Macaca mulatta: one gene and its partners. The protein of the gene in region 2 interacts with the protein of the main gene of each other region in a pairwise test. Links are inferred from orthologs where the notes say so. Each region holds a gene or a part of one and is shown on either strand. Other genes may lie near its edges. The genes, in order: PRKN, RGS2, CTSB, NIPSNAP1, WDR74, MTUS2 and GIT1.

What was found.
Region 1: the proteins of RGS2 (region 2) and PRKN interact in binary tests that used the Homo sapiens proteins (3 or more experiments, as listed by UniProt). The link is inferred for Macaca mulatta from reciprocal best matches to the Homo sapiens genes RGS2 and PRKN.
Region 3: the proteins of RGS2 (region 2) and CTSB interact in a two-hybrid assay, tested with the Homo sapiens proteins (2 studies listed by BioGRID and IntAct). The link is inferred for Macaca mulatta from reciprocal best matches to the Homo sapiens genes RGS2 and CTSB.
Region 4: the proteins of RGS2 (region 2) and NIPSNAP1 interact in a two-hybrid assay, tested with the Homo sapiens proteins (2 studies listed by BioGRID and IntAct). The link is inferred for Macaca mulatta from reciprocal best matches to the Homo sapiens genes RGS2 and NIPSNAP1.
Region 5: the proteins of RGS2 (region 2) and WDR74 interact in a two-hybrid assay, tested with the Homo sapiens proteins (2 studies listed by BioGRID and IntAct). The link is inferred for Macaca mulatta from reciprocal best matches to the Homo sapiens genes RGS2 and WDR74.
Region 6: the proteins of RGS2 (region 2) and MTUS2 interact in binary tests that used the Homo sapiens proteins (3 or more experiments, as listed by UniProt). The two-hybrid records come from large-scale screens. The link is inferred for Macaca mulatta from reciprocal best matches to the Homo sapiens genes RGS2 and MTUS2.
Region 7: the proteins of RGS2 (region 2) and GIT1 interact in a two-hybrid assay, tested with the Homo sapiens proteins (2 studies listed by BioGRID and IntAct). The link is inferred for Macaca mulatta from reciprocal best matches to the Homo sapiens genes RGS2 and GIT1.

The regions. Positions count from the first base shown.
Region 1 is NC_133409.1:9,887,797-9,891,296, reverse strand, and holds part of PRKN (E3 ubiquitin-protein ligase parkin), read right to left. Parts: coding exon 3,354-3,500; intron 1-3,353. UniProt on the Homo sapiens protein: Functions within a multiprotein E3 ubiquitin ligase complex, catalyzing the covalent attachment of ubiquitin moieties onto substrate proteins. Substrates include SYT11 and VDAC1.
Region 2 is NC_133406.1:50,335,415-50,339,434, reverse strand, and holds the start of RGS2 (regulator of G-protein signaling 2), read right to left. Parts: upstream 2,801-4,020; 5' UTR 2,783-2,800; coding exon 2,673-2,782; intron 1,680-2,672; coding exon 1,578-1,679; intron 1,476-1,577; coding exon 1,414-1,475; intron 848-1,413; coding exon 681-847; intron 427-680; coding exon 232-426; 3' UTR 1-231. UniProt on the Homo sapiens protein: Regulates G protein-coupled receptor signaling cascades. Inhibits signal transduction by increasing the GTPase activity of G protein alpha subunits, thereby driving them into their inactive GDP-bound form.
Region 3 is NC_133413.1:9,424,750-9,429,008, reverse strand, and holds the start of CTSB (cathepsin B), read right to left. Parts: upstream 2,801-4,259; 5' UTR 2,723-2,800; exon of another isoform or gene 1,594-2,722; intron 1-1,593. UniProt on the Homo sapiens protein: Thiol protease which is believed to participate in intracellular degradation and turnover of proteins. Cleaves matrix extracellular phosphoglycoprotein MEPE. Involved in the solubilization of cross-linked TG/thyroglobulin in the thyroid follicle lumen.
Region 4 is NC_133415.1:21,974,806-21,979,084, reverse strand, and holds the start of NIPSNAP1 (protein NipSnap homolog 1), read right to left. Parts: upstream 2,801-4,279; 5' UTR 2,770-2,800; coding exon 2,672-2,769; intron 1,857-2,671; coding exon 1,800-1,856; intron 989-1,799; exon of another isoform or gene 1-988.
Region 5 is NC_133419.1:11,218,826-11,221,403, reverse strand, and holds part of WDR74 (WD repeat-containing protein 74), read right to left. Parts: intron 2,558-2,578; exon of another isoform or gene 1,899-2,557; intron 1,038-1,898; coding exon 920-1,037; intron 843-919; coding exon 696-842; intron 533-695; coding exon 431-532; intron 1-430. UniProt on the Homo sapiens protein: Regulatory protein of the MTREX-exosome complex involved in the synthesis of the 60S ribosomal subunit. Participates in an early cleavage of the pre-rRNA processing pathway in cooperation with NVL.
Region 6 is NC_133422.1:9,399,800-9,403,299, reverse strand, and holds the end of MTUS2 (microtubule-associated tumor suppressor candidate 2), read right to left. Parts: intron 3,368-3,500; coding exon 3,154-3,367; 3' UTR 390-3,153; downstream 1-389. Other genes in the region: uncharacterized protein LOC114673599, read left to right, coding at 83-382. UniProt on the Homo sapiens protein: Binds microtubules. Together with MAPRE1 may target the microtubule depolymerase KIF2C to the plus-end of microtubules. May regulate the dynamics of microtubules at their growing distal tip.
Region 7 is NC_133421.1:38,328,613-38,332,793, forward strand, and holds the start of GIT1 (ARF GTPase-activating protein GIT1), read right to left. Parts: upstream 2,801-4,181; 5' UTR 2,754-2,800; exon of another isoform or gene 2,601-2,753; 5' UTR 2,522-2,600; coding exon 2,470-2,521; intron 1-2,469. UniProt on the Homo sapiens protein: GTPase-activating protein for ADP ribosylation factor family members, including ARF1.

The DNA of each region.
Region 1 (3,500 bases), on a different chromosome or scaffold from region 2:
CTTTCCAAACGACAGATGTTGTATGTGTTTAATATGTGAAGTACGTAGACAGGAATTGTCTCAGGCTTCTGTGGTTGGCTCGGTGTGTTCACCTCTCACCAACCTGCCTCTGTTCTCCCACCCAGCATCCGATTGTTGCATGAGAACAACACGTAGGATCCATAATTGTAAGACTGGAAAATCGTAGCGATAGGGCAGAGTTTCTCAGAGTGTAATCAGTAGCAACATTTTGCGGCCTCTACCCCCAGACAAATACATCAGAATTTCTGGTCACAGAAAAGTAATGAAATAAGATTTATTTTTTTTCTTGCCATTCTGGCCATCAAAGAAACATGGAAAAGCATGCAAGATAATTCTGCACATGGCAGTCTGTGACTCTCTGCTCTAGTAACTTTACGCTATAATTTTTAGTGAAGAAAAATAATCATATAGGCATACTGTTTGCATATAGTCATTTCAAATCATTCCAAAGTCGTAACTCAAACCAAGAATGAACCAAGACATTTGAAGAGATGAAGTCTCATTTTCTCTGTATAATCTTAAATAAAGCATTCGTTCTAAAAGCTAAATGCACAGGAATTCTGATGAATGACTTACTATGTTTACAATTTTAAGGAATTTAGTAAACATGTCTCACCACTCTTCTAAGAGATTTTGAGGAAAACTACAGTTAACTGGACAAAAACTCCATCCTCAAAGAGATTCAAAGGCGAAGTCGGAACTGGAGTACAAACTAGCAAGTAACAAGGGAGAGTCCTAAGGGTTCTGAAAAGGATTCCTTCCGGTTCTAATGAGTAGGAGAGGATTACTTGTAGTTTAGTTGTTAGTTTAACACAGAGTTAAATCTGAAAGTTGACCTGGGATAAGCCATGTCTCTTTTCCCAATCCTTTACAGATGCAATATAACTACACAGAGGCCTTTCAGTAGCAGTATGTAGGGTACCAGGAAGTCACCCCCAGTCTGTAGTGGTGCAGGGAGAAGTGTATTAGGAGGGCACCCCTGCAGCCCCCAGCTGCACCATGTAGAGTTGCCTAAGCCAGTCCCTAGCCTGCAAAATGCACAAAGCTGGCAGACCACAAGACAGAGGGGTAAATGAGAAACATGGTGATCAGAGGTAAGATGTGACTCAGACATGGGTGGAAAGTAAAGGTGAAACAGCATGTCATCATAGGCCACACAGTACTCTGAAAGCTGCTGTCATTTACCGCATTCCACACATTTACTAGAATTTATTGTCTATTGTTTGGGTGGAAATAATTACACATTTCAATTTAAAAATAAAGAGAATATTATACATTTAGCAGAATTTTCTCAGTGCCTACTGGTACTTCAGACCCTATATAGAGAGAATACTATATTTTCTTAACAAAAAATTATGGTCTAGAGAGAAAGACAAAAAAAGTCAATTGAAAATGTCAATAATTCTAAGTTCATTCTCATAAAAGAAAATTCTGGAGAAGACCAAGGACAATTTTATGATAAAACAAAATAAGAAGAGTCAGATAAATATGTTTGATAAGATAGTAGAGACAGATGCACTAGGAAATGGATTAACGAATGTGAATATGTACAGAATATGATTATTGTGCTAAAATTGTTTTTAATATTCAGTAATAGGTAAAGGTTTAATTTTGTTCTAAACAATGTGATTTTTTTATTTTTAGTAAGAATTTTATTTTGGGAAATCAAAGAACTAGTAGATAGGTCTACTAACATAATAAATCCAATCTGTTACACAGTTGGTACCACTTTTGGTTTCAGCCCTACATTGGGGGACTTGAAACATATTGCCTATTGATGGGGAGGGATGACCGTACATGTTAGACATCCAGAAAAAATGCATAAATCTCAAAGAGGTGGTCTAAAATTCAGGCTTGGATACTATCTTCTACGGCAAAGGAAGAAAGGGAGAGGAGAAGACAAGAGTAAGGTTTGTTACGCAGATTATTAAGTTGGTGGCTTCTCAAGAATCAGAGTCTCCAGAGACTCTGTCCTTCTCATCCTAGTAAGGAGAGGGAGACACCCTTACAAATGGAGATTTCCTTGGTAGATATAAATTTCCCTTACAAAAGGGTGACTTCCGCTCTGTTTTTAGAGCTTGTCCTATGTCTACTGTTTCTCAAAATAATCAGCTCAAAATAATACTTATGCTAACATGGCATATTTTGGGGTGGTATATTCTGGTCTCATACACCCTCAAGGTGGAATTTTCCCTTGTTTGGTTTATAATGTTGGAGCACTGAGTATCCTTTAGTAGGGCTTGTTTTTCTCTAGAGGTGTCAATGTCAGAATGATCTTCTACATACTCTGGTTGAAACATCAGAATTGTGAGGAGCTTGGGTTTGATATTTATATTAATTTATCATATCCTGGATCACAAGGGCATTGCAGGGGTTTAGATTTATTTCATTTTTCCCCATTTTTGACATTTGTTTCCATTTCTCAGTTTTTCTTTCCAGACCTGAGGTGCCCAGCTCACATGAAGCAGAGCCTCTTTCCCTCCCACAGTCATCTCAAGATCACCAGAGCATCAGCTAATGCCTTACTTTCTGGGTTTATCTACTCCTGTATTTAAAGATGTTGCTTCTACATTTTCACTTGTCCTTGAAAATTATCTTTTTTTTTATTTTTTGCAAGCTCATTGAAAATTTTTAATTCCTTAAATTTTATTTAGTAATTTTAGTGGGAGGCATTTCTTATTACGTCAGGCTTCCATCTTGCAGGTCCCAGAACTTTCTGACACTGTGAAGGCCATACCAGCCCACAACTGCCAGGATCTATTGTATGTGGGAGGAAAATCAACTTCTACCCTGTAAAGTCATTGTGATTATTTTGTGTATTCTGTCAGACACAGTAAAAATTAATTCTATTACACCTTTGACTATTTAGAGAATAAAAGACTAAGAGACACATATTAATATTTTAAAAATAACTAAACAATAACCATCTTTTCCAAAGAAAAGCATTTTGAAATGGGTGGTAGAACAGAGAAGGAAGAATCCTTTCACACTAAGGATGTCATTGCCATTGGAATATGTGGCTTGAGAAACTACAAATGGCTCGATTAGCTTTCAAAATCTTTCTACTTTTTAGAATTTTTCTACATCACTAGAAACATATCTCTTCTATTTAATCTCAATGTGAAAACCTGTTTCATAGTACTTATAATAAATGCATTCTCAAATTTTACATCAAAGTACTCCACCTACAGTGATGTCTCCTTGGAGTGAATTACAGACTCAAATCCAAAACGTATCGACACTAAATATGCACCTGGTGAGGCCATGCTCCATGGAGACTGCACTAAACAAACAAACAGAATGCTCTAATACTCTTAGGGCATTCCAATTACCTGGACTGCCAGCTGGTGGTGAGTCATTCCTGCTGTCAGTGTGCAGAATGACAGCCAGTCCCACAGAGTCTCCTGGGAGGACTGAGCTGCTGAGGTCCACCCGAGTCAAGCTCTGGGGCTCCCGCTCACAGCCTCCCGCCGTGTTTC
Region 2 (4,020 bases):
CCACCTATTCCCTTCTTGCGTTCTGTACACAGTGAGGGAAGCTGTTCTGATACCAGCTTCTCCTAGTCAGTTACTGGCTTCCTGATTCACTACCCAGCTTTGAATCAATAGTTCTGAGCGATGTTTCCTGAACACCCAGGCTGAATTCAAGGTCAGTCTTTATGGCAGGTCAGTCTTTCCCCTTAGGAAAAAGAATGAAATGTCCTCCATTTCTGGGCTCCCTTTTACATTTCATGTAGCATGAGGCTCTGTGGTGATTTGAGGCTTTTTACACAAGTCCTGGTAGAATTCTGACTCCAAGAAACGGGGATAAGAGTTGTTCTCCATCAAGCTGTATACCCTTTTCTGGGCAGTTGTGAAGCAGCCACTTGTAGCTTCTTGTATATTCTGGGCAATCAGAGTTTTGGTTTGAAAATCTATGTTTATCTGAAATAAAACAAAAAAGTTGTTTATTTGGTGTTCAGAGTTAAAGATTAAAATTTAGTATTTGAAAACAAAAAATAAAAATTATGTGTGATTAGCTTTACTACCTAAGTCACAGAAGAACTTTAACATAACTGAAAGCTACAACATGGGGGGACTTTTTACCCCTCCTTCTAGCCCCACTTTGCCCTTATTTTGTTTCACTTTTGTGCTAAAAATGTCCAGATTGTGCTCAGTTTAGGAACTTGTTTCCTTACCTCTTTTGGAGCTTCCTTTTCTATAAAATCAGTATATATTTTCCTTGCTTTTGAGGACAATTTTTGGGGTGATTTGGTTTTTTTGAAGTCTTCACAGGCCAGCCAGAATTCAATATTTTCTTCACAGAATTCCGACTTTAAAAAAGCCCTGAATGCAGCAAGACCATCTGAAGGGGGGAGAAAAGAAAGCATGCAGAATGTGAAGAACCGAGTGACCAAATGATTCTTTATGTTTCTCCTAGTACTTCTCCCTCACATTTTAATTATTTCTAAATGACAGCAATTTTCTAGATTTCGCTTAAACCTGTAATTCTCAAAATTTAGCTTTTTAAAGACGAAGATACCAGTAGGCAAAATGCTTATGTTGGCCCTCTGCTGCAAAAATATAAGTACTTTGCTGTCAATGCAAAGTAAATATTTATAGGGGAGACATAAATTCTCTGGGAACTAAGCCTCTTGAAAACATTGTATGCAATGGAAAAACTGACTCAACCTTAACTATAAGCAACTGCCACTTTAATTTTTTTAGGCTGATTTTCTTCCCCACCTGGAGGAAATACATGCATTTATTTCCATGGTTAAACCCTGGGAAATAAAGGAGAGAAAAACAGGCTTTATCCAATAGTGACTGCAGTCTAATCCCCCTCAGGCAAGCTGCTCTTTTGTTGTGTGGACCCAGCCTTTGCAGGCTTTTGCAATATTAGCAATGGCTAAAGTTCAAGAGTTAACTTACATTTGCTAGCTAGCAGCTCGTCAAATGCTTCTGACCACAGCTGTGCTTCCTCAGGAGAAGGTCTGCAAGAGAGGTTCTGCATGTTAGCTTATGCACATCAGAGTTCCCCTTTTCAGTTCAGCAACTAACTATTAACATTTGCAAGTACAGGATTCTCAACTTACTTGATGAAAGCTTGTTGTTTGCTTTTTTTGCCGGTTTTGGGTTTCCCAGGAGTAGAGGAATTTTGCAAGAAGTAGCTCAAACGGGTCTTCCAATCTTTTAAACTAAAACAAACAAAAAAATTTAAAAAAGATAATCACTAAGTAGCAACACTTGAATATGCTACTGCAGCTGAACGCATTTTTACCAAATAAAGTCACCCAGTAACTAGAGACAAACCGCATAAGGCAAAGCAAGAACTCTTCAAATAACAGTCTTATCCACTTAACATTTAAACCTCATGTACTGAGCAGTTTCATCCATTAAACTGATCGTATCTACTAGTTTTACAACTAAGGGCAGGGCTACCTACAATCACTAGGGTATTTTAAAGAATTGTTAATGAATTTAGTTCAAAAGGCAGATACTATTTCTGGCTCACAAAGGGCATCAGTTTGTTTGCAAGGTTAATTACAATTCCGAGGGGTTTTACAATTTAATGAAAAGGACAGACGTGGAACTGTCTGGAGCCGGCCCACGCTTCTCTCTTTAGAGCAAGAGGTTCTGGAGCATGCCAGAGACAGTGTACAAGGAGGTGGGTGACTGATTCCCCTGCGCTCTTCCTTCCCCACCTACAACACTTCTTTTAAGCAGACGCTGCAGAACAATTATTTGTTCCACATTCATGACTGGGTGAGATCTGCTCTATAATTAAAAAACAAAAATGGATTTTAAACGAGTATATTCACAACCAGCAAGAGCATCTCCTTCCAGGAGCTGTGTAAGCTGATGAGAACTCATCATGCAACGTATGCATGCTGGGGACGCGCTTCAGCCGCAGGATTCTGATGTCATTTTGAATGCAGGAGGACAAAAAGCCAACCCGCAATTTCTTAGCGCATCCACCACGGCCCTCATATCAACTATCTCCCTCGGTTCCTAAACTCTACCCGAGCATCACCCAGATTTAACCTTAACAAACTGACCTTTTCGATTTTTTTTTTCCCCTGCAGAGGCTCGGGCTAGTTTCCTAACATCAAAGCCGAGCCCAAAGTACCGCGTTTGCAGCTCGCAGTGTGTGGCAGGGGTGGCGGGAGAGGGAAGAAAGCCATACTCACAGGGTCCGTTTCATCTTTTCCCGCTTCTCCTCGCTCTTGTGGCCGCTGCCAGCGCTAGTGTCCATAGGTCTGCAGTCGTGTTGAACAGCCAAGAACATAGCACTTTGCATTATCGTCCTCCCGCTGGGGCCGCGGCTGTTGGCTGCTGGGCGTGCGTCGCAGCTTTTATAAGAAGCCGCGACTTGGGGGCGGGGCTTCGCGGCTCCGGCCCCGCCTCAAGAGGACGCGGATTGGTTGGTTGCAAACGGGCACTGGGATGGGGGTCAGCGCCCGCCAGCGGCAGTCTCGGTTAACGCCGAAGGGTCTGGAAGCCAGGGCGCTGCTGACGTCTGCGGCCCGGGCTTCTTGCGCACTCGGACTACATAGCAGCGGCCAGCTGGGGCCGGCGTGCGAGCAGACAGGGACTTTTCAGTGTGGGCTGTTGCCCACGACCTTTTGCTGAAGCGTGGTGGCCAGGCGGGGGCTTGCGGCGGAGGGAGAGAGCCGAAGTTGGCTGCGGCCTGGCGGAGGCTACGTCGCTCCCTCACCCACCCACCCTGACGGGCTCCCCAGCCCCAGGCCAGAGCGGCGATTCCCTGGCAGGAGGAGGTCGCCCGCCGCGAGGCCGGAGTTCAGTGGCCTGATTTTGAATGAAGAGTGGGATTTTTCTTCTTTTTTTGAGCGCGTTCCCTGACCCCGCGCCTCATTTCTTGTTTGCTGTCCTACTGTAGGGACTCATTCGACACACCCTGGTCAATGAACTGAGGCTACGGGGAGACCCTCCCCCGTTTCTCTCTGCCACTTAATTTAAGGAAGGTGTAACCTGAAACGTTGACTGCCCGGGGGCAGGGTGGGACCTGCTCTGCAGCTTGCTGGGGCGTCTTGAAACACGTTGGGAATGAACATTAGGGATTGAACAAGAGAAGGTGACTTTATCAGAAGACAGTGCTTTAATTGGATTTGCATTTTTGATCACTACTAGGCAAGTGGCTGGGTCTGTCTATAGGGTCATTCCTCAGGAGCCCTTGGTCACATCTGCCAAAATGGAAATCACAAGTTTCCTTATGGTGGGAGAGAAAGCTGGAGACACAGATATTTCAGAGCTGTAATGCACTAGAATCATGAGTTCAAGGAGTCAGGATTTCCTCATGAGTCATTCTTGTTTTGAGTTAGGATTTACCAGAACTTTTAATAACTGGCAAAAAGTAGGGGGAAGGAGGAGTTAACAGTTTCCTTCATTAAGTTTTTTGTTAATTCTTCAAGTATCATCTCTACTCCTGAAGGTTTTAAAACGACTTGATTGGTAAAAACAAATAGATTACCTCAACCACAAAATGAGTTGATTTCGTACAATATTACCAGAACTAGC
Region 3 (4,259 bases), on a different chromosome or scaffold from region 2:
GCTGGGCACAGTGGCTCACGCCTGTAATCCCAACACTTTGGGAGGCCAAGGCAGGGATCACTTGAGGTCAGGAGTTCAAGACCAGCCTGGCCAACATGGTGAAACCCTGTCTCTACTACAAATACAAAAATTAGCCAGGCATGGTGGTGCATGCCTGTAATCCCAGCTACTCGGGAGGCTGAGGCAGGAGCACTGCTTGAACCTGGGAGATTGTGCCACAGCACTCCAGCCTGGGTGACAGAGCGAGACTCTGTCTCAAAAAAAAAAAAAAAGAGAAAAGGATAAGAAGTGGCATACCTGTAACTCCTCCCTCTCAATGTTTCAGTCCATATCTCGAAAGGAAGGTATATTATTCTACACAACCATAACTCATTAACAGATTTAAGAAAATCACCCCCACCCCGGCGTGGTGGCTCACACCTGTAATCCTACCACTTTGGGAGGCTGAGGCGGATCACCTGAGGTGGGAGTTCGAAAACCAGCCTGGCTAACATGGTGAAACCCCGTCTCTACTAAAAATAATTTTTTAAAATGCCAGGTGTGGTGATGGGCACCGGCAATCCCAGCTACTTGGGAGGCTGAGACAGGAGAACTGCTTGAACCTGGGAGGTGGAGGGTGCACCACTGCACTCCAGCCTGGGCGACAGAGGGAAAGTCTGTCTTAAAAAAAAAAAAAAAAAGAAAGAGAACATCACCGACAGACATCCCAAGGCCCCCCTGAAACGTGATCTCCCTTCATTTCCCAATCCAACCAAGAGCAACAGAAAATATCTGTTACCCCTAAAATGGGTGCAACTTATCTTCCAACTCCCAGGTCCAGCAGCTAGGGAAAGAAAAGAAGCTGCCCAGGAGAAGAGCCTCACCAAACTGCTAAATCAGCACCACATGGGCCGCTTCAACCTGGAGCCAAAGGGCTGCCACCCCTCGCCGCCTGACCAGTTGACAACAGGGCTGTCCTGAGCCAACATCCAGGAGAGCTGTTGGGGCGAGAGCTGTGCCAGGGCCGTGTCTGGTCTGCGTTGCCACCTGGGCCAAGAGACCTGTGCCTTTCCACCAGGGGATACCCCAGCTCCGGGACAAATGACCAAAAAGGAGGAGAAGCCTCTGCTCTCCAGGAGACGTCTGACTCTGTCTTTGGGAAGGCCACACAGGGTGGGCAGCCCAGCCCCTTTCTCCAGGAGCTGGCGGGTTCTAAGTCACCATCACCAAGAAGAAACAGTTCTCCGCCAGGCCAGGCATGGTGACTCATGGGGAGGCCGCGGCAGGCAGGTCACCTGAGGTCAGGAGTTCGAGATCTGCCTGGTCAACATGGTTAAAACTCATCTCTACTAAAAATGCAAAAATTAGCTGGGTGTGGTGGCAGGCACCTGTAATCCCAGCTACTCGGGAGGCTGAGGCAGGAGAATAGCTTGAATCTGGGAGGCGGAAGTTACAGTGAGCCGAGATTGCGGCAGTGCACTCCAGCCTGGGAGACCGAGCGAGACTCCATCTCAAAAAAAAAAAAAAAAAAAAAAAAAAAAAAGAACCGATGTTATGGAAGAGAAAGAGCAGCCCTTAACCAAGCCAACGCCCTCTTAGGCCTCTTCGCCTTACCTTCCTGAACGTTTGGACTGAAAGAGGGTGCATCTCAGCTATCCTCTCCTCCGGCGGGAGGCAGTGGGGATCAGTTTTTCTAGGCTACAAAAACGTGCCAGGTCTGCCTTTGAGCCCCACAGCATCGCTTCTCCAGTGGGTTTGGGGGTCTCTCCTCCGTTAGGAGGAGGGGTGTAGGGCCTGCGCTAGGATCCTTTTCCTTGCCAGCCTGCTGGCTTCCTCGATGCCTGGGGAAGGGGGTGACAGAGGCCCACCAAGAAGCCAAGTGCAATTCACTTCCAGCTGGGTCACCCACCCCAGCCTGCCTGCAGCGCCCCACACCCAGGCACCTACTGCTCCCCAGAGGCCAACTCCCCCCGGCCTCCAGGGCTACTAACCGAGGGGGAGGTAGGGCCCCAGGAACTCTGCCCGGCTTCCCTTTACTGGAGTCCAGGGGCAGGGAGCGTCCCTGGCCTTCTCCCCACCCGGCATCCAATCGCCCATTCGCCTCTTGGTTTCGCAGCTTGGTTTCTCTTCCTGTTTATGGATTTAACTCCGTGCGGGTTCCTCCCCAGCCCACCCAGTGCCAGATCCCTGTTCAACAGGACCTGTCTTCTGGGGTCCCAGGAATTGTGTGGGATCTTGCGCAGAAAGTTGGCCAGGCAAATCCTTTGGAACGAGGGGGAAATAAACCGAAAATAGATGCCGGCAGATGCGATAATCTCGGCAGTTTGTCCCGGGGACACCGAGGCCCAGGCGCTGGGAGCGCGACCCCAGGCAGCAGCCTCCGGACCTAGCCGAGCTCTTCCTCGCAGGCGCCTCCCTCGGGGCTCCTGGCCGCGTCCCCGCTCCGGGGGCCGGGGTCCCGCGCACAGGCCGGGGAGGGGAGCAGAGGGGAGGGGGCTGGCGGGCGGGCCGGCGGGGCTGTTTTCTGCTTTTCTTGTCGACGCTTCGGAGTGCGCGGGCTCCCACCCCAGCCCGCCCGTCAGGGTCAGTCCCGAGGGTCCTGGCTCCCCACCTGCCCCCAGGAACGCCGCGGGGCCGCGCCTAGGCCCGACCGGGGACGCAGAAGAACCCGTCTCGGCGGCCGGTGGCACCGTCCCCGCCAAGGTCACTTCCGCCGCGGTGACCCCGCGCCCCCGGCACTCACCGAACGCTGCCGCCGAGAGTCTGCAGCCCAGCCTGCGCGCCGCGGAGCCGGTGCCGTTGCCGGAGCCCTGCAGCCGCCGTAGCCTGGGCCAGCCCCGGCCCTAAGTACCCTCCCGGTCCTGCGCCACGTGACTACCGCGCAGCCCCGCCCGTGCCCTCCCGCTGCCCGCGCACCCCGCTTCCCAGCCCCCACCTCCTCCCGCCACCTTCCGCCGCCCGCGCTCCCCTCTTCCCGGCCCCGCACCCCCCCACCCCTTCCGCCGGGGGTCCGGGGACACCGCCGGGGAGGGCGGGGGCCTGAGCGCCCGGGTTGGGGAAGAGGGGCTTGGAGCCCTGCGGGCCCTGGGTGGCGAAACGCTGCGAATTGGGGCCAGGGGATGGGGAAAAAGCCCCGAAAGGTGGTCCCAGAGCCCCCACCCCACCTAGAAAAGTCCCCCCGCCTCGCGGGACCGCTTCCGCCAGAACCGGCGCCGGGGATCCCTGCCTGCCGGGTTGGCGGGGGCGGGGTGGGGGAGAGGGCGCCGTCGCTTATTTCATTCATCAGAAGCCGCTGCAGGGGCTGGGGGTGGCGAGGCTGTGGACCCTACAGAACAGTCTTTAAACGCTCCACTTTGTTGTTCTGAGAACGTACCCACAAAACACTCCAGCTACGTACAAATAGAAAAGGGTGGCTGTCACCGCGAAGGAACCTAGGAGCTGCGTCAGGATTTCTACAGAGGAGGAGAAGGACCTTGGGGGGCGGAAATCGGCTTGGCACAGGAGTCCCGGGAGACCTGCTCCGAGAGGACTGACAAAGTGAACATTTACTTGGGGTTTATTAGCGGGAGGGCCTGGAGGGGAGATGCTGGGGTTGGCTCAAGACACCCTCCTCCAGACCCTCCCCAAACAGCTCTAATCCTAAAGACAAACCTGCAAGGCAGGCATGACCCCTGTATTCAAGAGGCTCAAAGAGGCTGGGCGCGGTGGCTCACGCCTGTAATCCCAGCACTTTGGGAGGCCGAGGCGGGCGGATCACCTGAGGTTGGGAGTTCAAGACCAGCCTGACCAACATGGAGAAACTCCGGCTCTACTAAAAATACAAAATTAGCCGGGCGTGGTGGCGCGGAAGGCTGAGGCAGGAGAATCACTTGAACCCGGGAGGCGGAGGTTGTGGTGACCCGAGATCTTGCCATTGCACTCCAGCCTGGGCAACAAGAGTGAAACCCTGCCTTAAAAAAAAAAAAAAAAAAAAAAGAAGTTCAGAAGAATCATCGTATTTTATCCAGGCTGTGGCGACAGTAAAAAGGCAGTAGGACTCCAAGGGACGTGGCTCCCTGCAGCCCGGTCGTCAGCTGTCACACAGCCCTGAGCCTGCCAGGGTCTTCAGAGTCATACCTGTATTCCCGCCTGGTTAGTACCAAACTAAGGATAGGAGTGGAAGGAAAAAATAATCTCTGGAGCCCAAACATGGTCACTAAGCCCCCAGCGGAGTGGGATACCCAAGGAACTGAGGACCAGAAGGCTGGAGGTCAAGGTGGTCCCAACTGCCTGCTCACCCT
Region 4 (4,279 bases), on a different chromosome or scaffold from region 2:
GACAGACGTAAGCCACTGTGCCTGGCCAAATTTTTGTATTTTTTATAGAGACAGGATCTTGCCATGTTGCCCAGGCTGGTCTCAAACGCCTGGGTTCAAGCGATTCTCCCACCTGGCCTACCAAAGTGTTGGGATTATAGGCGTGAGCCACGGTGCCTGGCCCAGGTCCATTTGATTTAAAAGCCCACACTCCATCCCCACCCCAGCAGCCTCATTGCCCCCAAACTTCACAGGCCAGAAGGGCTGCTGCTGGCCCTACTAGTGACTCCAGAGAGATATGGGGCAGCCTGAGGGCAGCAGGACAGAGTGTTCTCAGGTATCCAATGTGGAATTAAGGCATAAGTAACTGCAAGATGGTCCTTGAGGGACTTGATAAATATTAATCCAAGTGTCTTCACAGCAATCCTGCCAAACACACCAAGCAGGGATCACCATCCCCACTTTCCAGAAAAGGAAACTGAGGCTGACAGAGGTTCAGCAACTCATCCAGGGTTACTAAGTGAGGGGCAGCAGGCTGACTCTAAGACCCATGCTCCTTTTATGGCCTCTGGGTGTTTGCCACACAAATGGTTTTACCACCAATCCATTCTGTCCCTTCCCCAACCTTGATGTTTTCATCTGGAAAACAAAGGGCTCATAAAGGATGATCTTCCCAGAGCCCTTTGAGCCTCAATATTATGTGGGTCTCATGCAGAAATTGCTTGTAACATAGGCTAGGGGCAAGGAGCAACACTTGCTGCATGTTTGTCAAGTGCCAGACACTTCACAACCACGGTATCTTTTTTGTTTTAGACAGAGTCTTGCTCTGTCACCCAGGCTGGAGTGCAGTAGCACGATCTCGGCTCACTGCAACCTCCGTCTCCTGGGTTCAATTGATTCTCCTGCCTCAGCCTTCCTAGTAGCGGGGATTACAGGTGTGAGCCATCATGCCCAGCTAATTGTTTGTATTTTTAGTAGAGACAGGGTTTCACCAACATGGAGAATTTTTTTTTTTTTTTTTTTGAGATGGAGTCTCTCTCTTGTCGCCCAGGCTGGAGGCTGGAGTGCAGTGGCATGATCCCAGCTCATTGCAAGCTCCGCCTCCTGGGTTCACGCCATTCTCCCGCCTCAGCCTCCTGAGTAGCTGGGACTACAGGCGCCCGCCACCGCGCCCGGCTAATTTTTTGTATTTTTAGTAGAGAAGGGGTTTCACCGTGTTAGCCAGGATGGTCTCGATCTCCTCACCTTGTGATCCGCCCCCCTCGGCCTCCCAAAGTGCTGGGATTACAGACATGAGCCACCGTGCCCGGCCATTTTTGTACTTTTTATAGAAACAGGATCTCACAGTGTTGCCAGGCTGGTCTTGAACTGCTGACCTCAAGTGATCCGCCCGCCTAGGCCTCCCAAAGTGCTGCGATTACACATGTGAGCCACCATACCCGACCAAGCACGGCATCTTTAGTCCTCAACAACCCTATGAGATACTTCCTGTCTGATTACTCCCATTTTACAGATGAGGAACCCGAGGCTTAAAGAGTCCTGAGGTCACCCCACCTAGAAATTCCGAGTTAAATTTGTTAGTGCCAGGCAAACTCTAGGCTCTTCCCACGGTGTCAGCTTTCTCCCTAATTACTGGGCAGTCTGGGTGGGGGGCTTATGCCACTCCTCTTTCCCAGCTGTTGAAAAGCCCCACTGCTCTGTGCTGTAACATCTCATGGCAGGCTCTAACAGAACTTTGCAGCTTCATTCCTGGGCTGCAGGGCAGGAGGGATGCTTGCTTCCTTTTCCCAGGTTGGGGGAAGGGGAACAGGTGGCCTCACTTCTTTGGTAAATATTCCTTGACCATACACAGTCCTGAGCCCTCTGAGGGTGGGAGGCTGGGGAAACAGAGAAAAATGAGATCAGGGTCTAGCGAGAGACAGACAAGCACCAAGTCATAACTGTGCAGGGTGATATATGCAGATGGGGGAAGTACAGGGCTGTGGGGACCAAGGAGCGAGGGGCTGCTCAGGGACCGTCAGGGAGGCCAATCCCTAGCTCAGCCCAGAGCAGGGCCCAAACAAAAGCCCAGGCTGAGAGCACATGGCCCAGCCAGACTCCCACTCCCAGGAGGCCACCAGTTGGGTGCAAAGTGCATGGCGCATTGGCAGGCCTGGGTCCCAGATCTGGTTATGCCATGGCACAGCAGGGAGGGTGACCTTGGACAACTCCCGTCCGTTTCCCCACCTGTACAGTTCGAGGTGGGGGAACAAAGGGTCTGTGCAGCCATGGCCCCTGGGGATCCCCCACTGCTCCCCTGCCATCATCTCTTTCCCACCGAACTTCCCGACGGAGGAGCTGACTCTACCAGAAGCCTCCAGTGGGTGTTAAATCATAAGCTACGCCTGGGAATGGGCCACTCCTCCTGTCTTCTGCCCTCTCCCAGTCTCCAGGGCCCAGTACCTGCCCTTCTCACCATCTTTCATCAGGTCCCCATCACAGCCCGGTCCCAACCAGGACAAAGACCCTACCCATCCCTTTCTCGCCTCCCCCATTCTTTGCCCAGACCCTTCCCTAGGCCTTGATCCTGCCCCGCCTCTAACCCCCAGATTCCAAGAGAGGAGTCTCTGCCCCTCCCCCGCGGCCCAGTCCCTGGCCCCCGCCCGTGCACCCCACCCCGCGCGCTTCTGTCCCTGCCTGGCCCGGCTCTCACCGCGCCGCAGCTGCAGCCGCAACGTCCCCAGCGCGGGGCCCCGGGCCCCCCAGCAGCCGCCGCGCCGCCACAGAGATGCTGCATAGCCGCGGAGCCATGTTGGAGCCGCGAAGGTTGCAGGAAGGCCCCGCCCCCAAGCCTGGGTGAAGGAGGCGGGGCGCGAATAAACTCCACCCCTCCGACTCGCCCGCCCCCTCCACTCACCCGGCCAGGTGGGCGTTGCCCGTGGGCGTCTCCAACTCCGCAGGTGCTTGACGGAAGTCAGGGTTCTAATCCTCTGCGCGCTCTGCGACCTTGGCAAGCCCTTTGTCCACTCTGGGCCTCAGGATCCACCTAAGTAAAATGGGAGCGTGGAACAATAATACCAAGGGTTCTTAACACGGCTGTCCGGGATGTGCAGCAGAGGGTCAATGTAACCTCCCCATGGGTTCATTTTGCCCGTTTCATTTTTCCCCGACAGAGCGATTTATCAAGACAGGGGAATTGCAATAAGAGTTTAATTCATACAGAGCCGACTGAATGGGAGACCGGAGTTTTATTGTTACTCAAATCAGTCTCCCTGAAAATTCGGAGACTGGGTTTTATTAAGGATAATTTGGTGGGTAGGGGCCAGAAAGTGGAGAGTGCTGATTGGTCAGGTCGGAGATGCCATCATAGGGAGTGGAAGCTGTCCTCTTGTGCTAAGTGGATCTCTGGGTGGGGGGCCACAAGACCAGATGATCCGGTTTCTTAATCTGTGTGTCGCCTGCGGATCCATTGAGTGCAGGATCGGAAAAATATCTTGAGCACCAATCTTCGGTTTTACAGTAGTAGCTCCCCTAGGAGCCGTTGGGAAGGTTTAGAATCTGTGGCCACTACCTGCATGACTTCTGAACCGTAATTTCTAATCTCGTGGCTAATTTGTTAGTCTTACAAAGGCAGTCTGGTCCCCAGGCAAGAAAGGGGTTTATTTTGGGAGAGGGCTATTATCTTTGTTTCAAAGTTAAACTATAAATTTGTAGCCGGGCATGGTGGCTCATGCCTGTAATCCCAGCACTTTGGGAGGCTGAGGCGGGTGGGTTAGGAGTTTAGGTCAGGAGTTCAAGACCAGCCTGGCCAACAGGGTGAAACCTCGTCTCTACTAAAAATACAAAAACTTAGCCAGGCATGGTGGCGGGCACCTGTAATCCCAGTTACTCGGGAGGCTGAGGCAGGAGAATCTCTTGGAGGCAGAGGTTGCAGTGAGCCGAGATTGCACCACTGCACTCCAGCCTGGGCAACAAGAGCGAAACACCGTCTCAAAAAACAAACAAACAAACAAAAAGACTGTAAATTAGGCCTATGCCCAGAAATGAACAAGGACAGTTTGGGGGTTAAAAGCAAAATGGAGTCAGTTAGGTCAGATCACTTTCACTGTCATAATTTTCTCACTGTTAAAATTTCTGCAAAGGGGGTTGCATCAGTAAGCCCCCTGAAACTGTATACAACATTATGTGCTCCTGTGTGGTGCATTCTCTGGGGAAGGGCATTCACAGGCCAGGTTTATCATCATCAAAGAAACAAACTTCCTTATAAGTGAAGACGGGGACAAGACTGTCAGCTGCAGACACTTTATCTCCACCATCTCCT
Region 5 (2,578 bases), on a different chromosome or scaffold from region 2:
AATGAGACAGCCATAAAGATTTCTCATTTGGGGCCTTCATGTAAAGCTGAGGAGCTGAGGCCAGAGATGGGAGGCTCAGGCCTCAGTCCCAAAGCAAATCAGAGAGGCTGCATCAGGACCAGAACCCAGTTCTCTTAACCCCTAGCCCAATGTCCTCTGACACCTGCACCCTATAACTCCCACAGTGAAGGGAATCCACTGTCCTTTCCTCTCTTCCAGGTGGGAGGAAAACAGCACAGTTCAGGAAACTCCACCCTAGAATGCAGCAGAGGACAGTCATGGGCTCAGGGACAGGGTTGGAACGGATGGGGACGCGCTTGCTCCTTTGAGCTCAGAATGGTGAGAAAGGCAGTTGTGCCAAACCGTGGGGGCCATTTCTTCAGAAGGCTGCTTTATCCCAGGAGAAGGTAGGGGTGAGATGACACCTTACCTGGTGGTACCCTGTGCAGGTGACAAGCTTCTGTGATCCTGGGAGAAACTGTATGTCCTGGTCCCAGATGGGAACCCGCAGGTCCAGCCAGTCATTCCGCACCTGGTGGGGTGGGCAGATGGGGAACAGGGCTGTGGGGGGCTTGATGTGCTCCTCCTTTCAGCCCTCCTTCGCCCCCTAAAGCCCATCTAGTCTCTGACACATAGTCAGTGGCCATAGCCTCCCTCAACTTCAGGAACAGCTCCTTCACACTCTTGTCACTCACGTTCTTGGCCCTGAACACAGGTTCCTCAGAGCCCTGCAGGTCCCACATCTTCAAAGCATTCTCTTTCCCACCTGTGGCAACCACATGGGGGTGTGCTGGGTCTTGGCGCATCCTACACACCCCAGGGCCCACTCTCAGTTCCAGGAGCTAAAAAGAATGGGAGATAAGAGTTCGTTCCAGAGTTCTTAATCCTCCCTTCCCCAACACAATCATTAGGCACCTACCCCAGCCCTCCTCCCCCAACCATCAGGGCAGGGAAGCCTCACTGGGTCAGAGGATGTGTTCTTGTCATTGTCGTGCCAGACTCTGAGAATCCCAGAATCCACACATGTGATGAGGGTGCTGCAGAGAAAGGACAGAGTTGGGATGTTTTAAGTGCTTAAACTCCTTGTTCTAATCTTTCTCTCCTTCTCACTACTAGACTTGACAATGTTTAAAAACAAACAAACAAAAAAGTACAAAAGTATTCCTAGGCCCCAAACTCATATCAACCCGATTCCCTACTAACAGTCCAGTTTAGAAGAAAGCCTCTAGGTCACTAGGCTCTAGGCAGAGCCTGACAGCTTCCAGCTTCCTAATTCAACTTATTCAACTGTTAATTCAACTTATTCAACAGGGTGAGAGTTTACCAAGTGAGGAAACAGAAGTGCTGAGAAGCTAATCTGCCACTCAGCTATGTTACAACCACAGCTGGAAATCCACTCTGTAATATTCCGGAGTGCTTTTGCTGTTCACAGCTGTGTCTAGCGCCTGGCCGTACTGGTCTACCTGGCCGTGCTGGTCTATCTGAATCTTGAGTTGCCTACTAGGGCTCAGGATCAGCAGTTCTAAAAGGATTGAAATGGGACTGGTCTGAATTTAGGGTTTGGTCAAAGTCAAACACCAGCTTCTTATGTTCCTTGCTCTGGGTTTCAGGCACTAAATGTCAGTCTCTTGCTTAAAGTATCTCAAGAAGTCCAAGCAAGTCTCTCCCCAGGATCTGCACAGCCTGCGCCTATGTTCTTTCTCATGCCTGCCAACCCTCCCCAGCTGGGTTCAGGCTCTGTTTCGACTTGCCTGAGCTGTGACAAAAGTCTCCCAGTTGCTGTCTCCAATCTATCCTCCATACTCCTACAGGTTCCCAGTGCTGACTATGGTACTTCTTTTTTTTTTTCTCCCCCCAAATCAACAGGTCTTTTATTGCATCATTAAAATATCACAAGTAGGTCTTAGGAGTCATCTGGCATCTTCTTTCTGTAGCTGAATAACTCTTAGATCTTATTTATCAGCCTGCTGAACAGTTCCTTTTTCAGAGACATAGATACCATCCAAAAATTTCCTGATATCCTTGTTTTTAACTGTTGTGGCTTGCTGAATCAAAGCCGCTGAATTTGAAACAAGTTCAATGTCATTTCCTTCAAGGATTAATTCATCTTTCTGGGCTTGAGATACTGAACAAGCAACCCCTGGTCTCATCCGAACCCTGCGGATGTATTTTTCACCCAAGAAATTTCGGATTTCAACAAGAGACGCATTCTCCTGGATAATGACGTTGATGGGGAAGTGAGCATATACAGACCTCATCTTGTAACGGAAACCCAGTGTAACACCCTTGATCATGTTCTGTACATGACTACAAATAGTCCGAACGGTAGCCAGTTCCTTTCTGTTACCCCACCATTTGTCAACCCGAAGCCTCTTTTTTTTCTTTCCAAGAAGACTGAGTTCTACATTGATGTGATTGAAGTCCCTCCGCAGGGTTCCTCTGGGGCCCTTCACGATAACTGTGCGTCCCTTCAGAGTAATGTCGACATTTTCTGGAATGTCGACAGTCTGATTGCTGAGAATCGTCTTCATTCTTGCAGTAGACGCAGCAAAGAAAGCGACTATGGTACTTCCTATTC
Region 6 (3,500 bases), on a different chromosome or scaffold from region 2:
GAGGTCCAGCTGGCGAAACCAGCTGCAGCCCAAACTGAAGGCCATCGGGATGGGGGGAGCAAGCACTTTCAGGTTGAAATGAATGAATGACCTTTTGTGTTCTCTTTCCAGCCAACTCCAGCACACCCCAGCCTTGCAGAGCAGAGGCACTGCGCTCCCACGTCCAGGGGAGGGGCTGCTCAAGCCCCCAGGCTGGAAGGGTGGGCGCAGGGACCTGAGACCTGCTGAGTCAGGGGAGAGGGGGTCTCTAGACTTCTCGCATGGACGATCACCCAATCCCAGCACACACAGAAAAGGGGTCCAGCCTGCAAATGCCACCCCCCACCTTGCCTCCCTGCCTGGAATCCCCAGCCTGAGAGGGACAGGACTCCAGTTAAATCAAGTAGGTATCGCAGAAAGTCCCTCAAGTTTATTTTAATAGGCTTTAGAGTTAAACACAAATATGCAACACAAACTGTAGGGGCGGGAAAAGGGATGTTGTGACCCCATTCATTCAACCAATCACTGCCAGGGCTGTCCCCACCCCCATCCGTTCTAACATCCAGCCAGAACCTTGTCCCAGCATGTGACGGGCAGGGGCGGGGGTGGGGGGCAGGCCGCCCATGCATCCCCCAAATGCCACAAAAAGACAGGTGGTACCTGGTGGGTCTGTCTGAGGCAGGTGCAGAGGCTGCAGCATCTGAACATGGAAATGTCGCTCCAGCCTGGAAAGGGACAGAGGCAGACACCACGTGGAGAGAAATCTGAATTCTGATGGTGTGGGGGGTGGAAGAATCGGGGAGGAGGCACAGCAGCTGCTGCCCCATGTGTTTCTGGAGCAGTGATGGCTCAGATGAGGAGCCATACACGATGGGTGTCCATAACGAAAGAAAAAGCAAAAAAAAAAAAAAAAAAAAAAAAAAAACACGAAGCCAGGGCCATGTGGAAATTAGCTCAAGTACCCAAGGTCAGGGTGGGTTAGGGTAAAGCTCTCACCAAAGTCCACCTAATGAGGAATTACTTAGTGCTAACAATGCTACAGCTCTGACCACAGCAGCCTAACACACTGTACCACGTTCTAGCATCACACGGAAGTCGGTATTGCTGTGTAACTGCGTTTAGCAGGTGCGGCTATGTAAGCGGTTCCTAATTCGGGCAGCTAAGCTGAACCGAATGTGTGTTTGCAGGTTGTGCCTGCTACAAGAATAAATGATTGTGTACTTAGTCAATGTGGCATGATCTACTCTAATGGAATGCCCAACTCAGTATCACAGTATCATGCAGAGCCACTAAAGCAAAGAGAAATGGTGGCACTTCCATGTGGATTTACTGTGTATGTCCCCAGAAGGAGCAAGACCTTTGGAGGTTTGCTGGAGATGTACCCGAGGCCCGGAAGCTCAGCTTGGACTCAGGCTAGGGCCAGGGACCATGTCTGCCTTCATGTTGGCCACACGTGTGCCGCGTAGGCGCGCCCTGGGCAAGCCGACTCCGTCCGCTGGCTGTTTCTTCCCCGCTCCATGGCTCTGGCCCCTGCAGGATCCCCTCATGGTTCTTCTCGCCTTGGGCACACTCAAAGACAGGCCTGTGCTCAGGACAATTTTGGGGGGCCTCAGGGAGAAAGTGCAGGGTCTTTGTCGCATACAGGAAACAAGCGCATCATCATCATCACCATATATGTTAAAACTACTTCTTTCTTTTGTGTATCATGCTCCTAATCTTCCGCACCACTACATGAGTACTGTTCATATCCTAATTCTACCATTTTAGAGACAGATGCCAGTCCAGGAGCTGGTGGCCCCTGGCTGGCTGTTTCACTGGGCTCCTCTGTTTGGGAGAACCTTCTGGGTCTAAGATGGGCGCACGGTCAGCAGCAGCGTTGGCTGATCATCCAGCAGGAGGTGGAAGTGGGTTTCTGGGTGGTCGTGTGATGATCTAGCACAGCTCAGAACTGGTTCCCCAGGGATAGAAACGGTGTGTTTTTCTGGAAGCCCCTGCCAGAACCCCTGAGCCATCTCAGTGTGCACTGAAGGGGCTGAGTTGTAGAACCAAACTGAAGTGGGGGCTGCTATGAAATGGGGGCCTGAGGGTCCTATTTCAACGAGTTGATCATTTACGGCATCGCGTCAGAGTGAACCACATGGCAAGCTGGAGTGCCGTCCCCCTCTGTGCCTGATCAAAATACAGACCCTAGCAGCAAGTTCCTTCATGAGGATGGAGCGCGAATGGGCGCTGTCATCTCCAGGGTCATCCTCACTCTCTCTCAAAGGTTTTCCGGAGGGTGCAACCTGTTTTCCGGATTGTGCAACAATAGCTTAATGACCGAGTCTGAGATGCCATTTAGGAAAAAAGCAAAACTGTGTTTACAAGACTGTTAGAGATGAGTCACTGTCATGAGAAACGTCTGCAGAACTGTTAAACCCCCTTCGGGTTTCCCACTGCTCTCCCTCAGCCGCTCATGACAGGAGTCTCGATAATGAAAACTTGCGAATGGAATAATAGTGATCTCACATCATGTTGACTAAGAAGCTGATTGTTCCAAAGGCAGTTACCGTTCACAAATAGCTGGTGTTCGTGTTAAAGAGAGCACCACTTGGTGGTGAGTTGAAAGGCGCTTCTTCTCTGTATCTTTTTTATTTTTTTTTCCTTTTTCTATTTTGGGTAGAAATATTCCTGGGAAGCTAGATAGAAATGCATTTTCATTTCCCAATAATTCTTAGGCACAAGTTAGAAAACTGCTGACCGTCACTAAAATATGTCAGCACTTCATATTATAAAAAATGAAATTGAGAACCGCAGCATGTGTATATACGTATATCTAAATATACACACATATCGGTGCAGTACACAATGATTATTCAATGTATATTGAAAACTGAGCTTTTTGTAACCTGAAATTCTGCAGTGAAAGTTCATTGCTCAAGAACAATTGCAAGTGTCTTTCTTTTGGCTCTAACTATGGTAAAACGTTTGCACATCAGACTTTACCATTTACATGTTCCTAAGTGCTGACACCAGGGCAGTCTTACACGGGGATCAGAGGAGGACGCGCCTAGGATGCATTCGCAGCTACTGAGCATGCGCACAGGGCCAGCTCCGGCGGCACCGGCTCGGTGCTCCCTCGGGGTGGAGACTGGAGGACGAGAAGCCGGAGCTCCCGCAGGCCGCGCAGTGGCGTCATCTGGGTGTTGTGCTGACTCTGGCCGGAGAGGAGGGCCCCGAGGAGGAGCCGCGGTAAACGGGAGATGTGGGCGAGAGTTTAATCGGGCTGGTTGGGTCCCCAGTTTGGAGCTTCCAAAGCAGCTCTTCGTTGGTTCGGCTCAATCTCTTCTTCTCCTGGGTTTCCTTCTCAACATACTCCTGGAGGTTAGCGTTTTCCTCCGACAGTTGTCTGCACGGGCACAGTGACAAAACAAGTAGCAATCATGCTAGTGGACACCGAACCTGAGGTCACGACAATGGGTGCAGGACAAAGGGAGGAGGCCATGATGCCATCAGGGAGAACAAGGACCAGGGCGACCCAG
Region 7 (4,181 bases), on a different chromosome or scaffold from region 2:
TTGGACGCCCCAGGCAGGCAGGAATGCACACGGTGCCTGACGAGGTGGCACAAGCTGCCAGAGCAGCCACGCCATGTCCAGTTGCCTACCAACACACTCGCACTTGTCCCGGGTGCCCAGGCCCGGGAGCAGAGGGAGGATGGGGCTCTCTGGGGGCAGGCTGCATCTCACCTCTGACCTCCATGACTCCTCAAATTAACCAAGCACAAAAAGTCCCTGGCCCCACTCCTGTGGCTGGGACTGCAGGGCTCCTATCACAATAAAAGAAAGCTGTGACCCTGGGGTGGAGCGATACACCATGGGGCTGGCACTGGATCTGGACTCCAGACTGCTGGGTACCCTCATGCCTCTCTGCCTGAGATGCCACAGGACCCAGACCAAACACGTCGCTGCATGCCAGGGCCAGCATCCTAGGGTCCAGGTGTGGGATAGTCCCAAGCAGCCAGCCAGGGTCCCGACAAGAAGCCAGACACTCAGGGAGCGCCTGCCATGTGCTGGACACTTCGCTGGGTGCTAGGTGGGCTGATGTGTAAGACTGTCCATATCCTCCCCACCCCACCATCCTCACCTTCTCACCATCTTCCTGACCTCTATTGTGTATCAGGGGAAAAGAGTCATCTGGGGCACAAATTCCTCTGACGGATGAGGACCTAGGAGTAGGAGCTGGGCAATCCAACACATCTGATGCCCACCATTCCTCCCTGAGCCCACTGGGCATCCAGAGGCTTTGGATGACATTCAATGCAACAGAGAAAGGACAACTGCCTTGCTGCCTTGCTGGTGCTGCCCTTCACCCCTCCACCCCAGAATCAGATCACAGCCCCCCCAGAAACCATTTCTACTCCAATTTCTTTGCCTCCTAATTGAGGAAACTGAGGCCCCCACAGTGAGGAAAGTCTTTTTGGGGTTACAGAGTAAGCTGGGAACAAAGGCAACACTATGCCCCAGGCTTCCCCGATAGGGTGCCTGCTAAGCCTCTCCTCCACATGCATGCCATGCTCACCCCATGGAGGTGCGGAACAGTGGGCAGACATTTATAAGGCAAGGTGTGTCCTCAGCCCTGCCATCCCCAGACCTGCCTGCAGCTGGGGGAAGGGAGTCATAGTTTCTTAGGGGTATGGACCCTCAACCCCAGGGCCCTCTAAACCAAAAGCCCCAAGGAGGAGAGTATCTTGTGCCCAAGCCCTGCTGGGTCACAGTTCCCAAACCGTCTAGCTTGGCACCACCCCCAGAACCACCAGAGCATCTGTGAGGCTCAACCTGTGGGGTCCTGGGCTTGCTCAAGGGGTGGCTGAAAGTTATGGACCCACAAACCAGCACCCCATAATCTCACTCTTAATAATGCCCACAGCCCCGCTAGAGTTCACAGACCTCCGAAGCCTGCCCAGGGGCCTACTAGGGAGATAGCTCCTTTTCTAAAGAAAGAATGGATGGGGGCTAGAGCTTCCTTCCCAGGCCAGCTGCAGAGCCCAGTCACTGGCTGTCCTCCCCCATCAGAAGGGAGCAGACTCTTGGATCATTACCCCTGACTTCCTCAGCAGGCCTGGGGGGTTTCACTCCAGCCCAGTCCTGACTCTGTTAGGAAAAAGAAGAGAACCACCATGTAAATACAGCCAGGAGGCAGGCTAGGAAGCCAGCAGGATGCGGGGAATCTAGGCATTGCCTCCCACCCATTTCTCGCCAGACTGGGCTAGGGGACAGGGAGGGGCCGGGGCCCAGGATAGCTTGATGCCAAGCTCACTTTCCCAAGCGGGCCTTACGGTGAATAGGAACAGCAGGGTCCAGCCGAGCTGTTCCCAGTCACCACCAGCAGGCCTGGTGATGCCTCCCGATAAGACACCCGGGTCTGAACTGGCCCTGAACGCCAGGCCCCGCAAAAAAGCGCTAGCCTTAGGAACCCGCGGCAGGGAGTCCTGGGAGTAGCCACTGCTCATCTGCTCCTGAGGAGACGGTATCCAGGCCCCGCTGGCGCATCTGCCCGGCCCTCTGCTCCTTGCCCTCCACCACCCCGGCAGGCGTGCCGACCACGCGAGCAGCAGGTGCAAGACGCGGGGGTGGCACTGAGATGACACAAAACCACACTCGCCCCCACCTCCCAAGCCCTGCCGGCCTCCGCCACTGCCCTCCTGCCACCCCAGGCTGGCGCTTCCGTCGGATAGAGATGGAGGTGGAGGGGCAGCCAGCTGCCCGCCTCCCTCAGACCGAGGGGCGGGAGGCAGCGCCGGGAACGTCCTTCCTCGCTCGTCCACCGCCTCCAGGGAGCATGGGCCCCCCAGGACAGCCCTCCCGCCAAGGACGCGGCTCCGCAGTGGCCGGGGCGGGGGCCGAGCCCGGAGGCCGCAGCCCCCCGCCCCGCCCAGCCCAGCCCAGCCCAGCCCTCCGGCCCCGCACGGCGCTCTCGCCAGGCCCCGGCGCCCGCCCGGCGGCGGCCTGGCTGTGCGGTCCCGCCCCCGGCCCCGCCGCGCTTACCCGGGGCGCTGCAGTCCGCACACACCTCCGCTCGCGGCCCCTTTCGGGACATCCTCAGCGGCGACGCGGCCGCAGCCCTCTGGGCCAGCGTGGGGGGCGCGGGCGGCGGGCCCGGGCGGCGGCGGCGGCCCCTGCTGCCCGGCCCGGCTCCGGCGAGGCCCCGGCGAGGCTCCGCGCGCCCGGCCAACCGTCCGCCCCGGGGCTGGCCCGGAACCCGCCGTGCCCGCCTGCCCGCTCGCCCTCGGGCGCCCTCCGCCCCACGCCGCCCCGCCGCCGCTCGCGACTCCTCTCTCCGCCCCCTGCGCGGCTCCGGGCCGCTCCTGCAGGAAGCGGCGCAGGCCCTGCCCACCAGGGGAGGGGCCGCACCCCCGCCCCGCCGCGCGCTCCCGGCCGCGCCCCCTGGAGAAAGGAAGCCCGGGCGCGGGCGGGAGGGGGCGGGGGCGCTTAAAGGGGCCGCGGCTAATGCCCGGCCCCGGCGGGCAGCGGGGCCTGCGGTCCTGGCCTCCGCTGCGGCGCTCGCCTGGCCCGGAGGCAATGTGAGTCACCCTCACAGCCCCCTCCCCTTCACTTTCCGCGTGGGGTGGCCCGGGGGACGCTGGGCCCAGGGATGGCGAGGGCGGGGATTAGGCAGGAAGGACTTGGAGGCCCAAGTCCCGCTCCAGGTCAAAGGGGCTGTGCCTTGGGGTACCCTTCTATCTCTGGTTGGGGTGAGGTGTGCCTCCCGGTCCTGTAGGTGTCCACATCTGTGTGTCCAGGTGTGTGTGCGTGTGTCACACTCTTGCTGAATACGCTCATTGCCAACAATATGGACGCCCAGGTGCTAGAAAGGTCAGGCAGTGTATTCCCCTGCCTCTGGACTAAAAATATATCTATCTCTCCATGCATGCTTCCATCCAGAGAGGAATCTGGGCGGTTTTTAAAGACCTCCCAAGGAGTGACCACTGTGCCTGTGTGCACTCAAATCCACTTGTCATCCGCCTTATACACACGGTGTTTCTGGGCCACCAGAGGTGTGTGCGTCCAGAAAGGGTGCATATAACACAGAGGGGCCGTTTCAGGTGACAGCCTTTCTTCCTGGACTTCACACGAAGAGGCAGGCAAAGGCAAGGCAGGTGAGGGACGTGGGTGGGCTGGGGGGCAGGGAGCCTAGTTGGAGGCCTCACATGAGCACAGCCCCCGCACTGAGCATGCTCCCCCATACACGTGTGCCGCGCGTGCACCCAACCCCCAATCCCTGCAGCAGCAAAAGGCCCGGGCACTCTGCTTGTGGGGAGAGGGCAGAGGTCCCCAGGGCCAGACCTGGGGGCCAGGTCAGTGGTGACAATTGAGGAGGGGTTATCGAAGTCAGAGACTCCTGCTCGGTAACAGATGGGGGCAGTCCTTTGGCAGGGGTGCTCAAGTTGGTCGATTTATCCCAGCGGTGCCAGAGCGGCAGTGACTTGTGGGTGGGCAGGCTCCTTCCCTAGGGGAGACAAGTAATTCTCATGAGTCACACCACCCGAAATACATGCAAAGCTGCCTCCATCGCCTTTTGCTGCGGCCCGGATTGACAAGTTTGTTTGAAATCGCGATCCATGGGCTTTATTTATAATTGCACCTTAAAAAAATCTTTCAGGCCTCCCCTCCCCAGACAGCCAGCCGCTCAGCTGGTGGGGCTTTTGCAAGCAACGATACCTAGCTGCTATGTAGGGAGGAGTACTACCTGCCGCCCC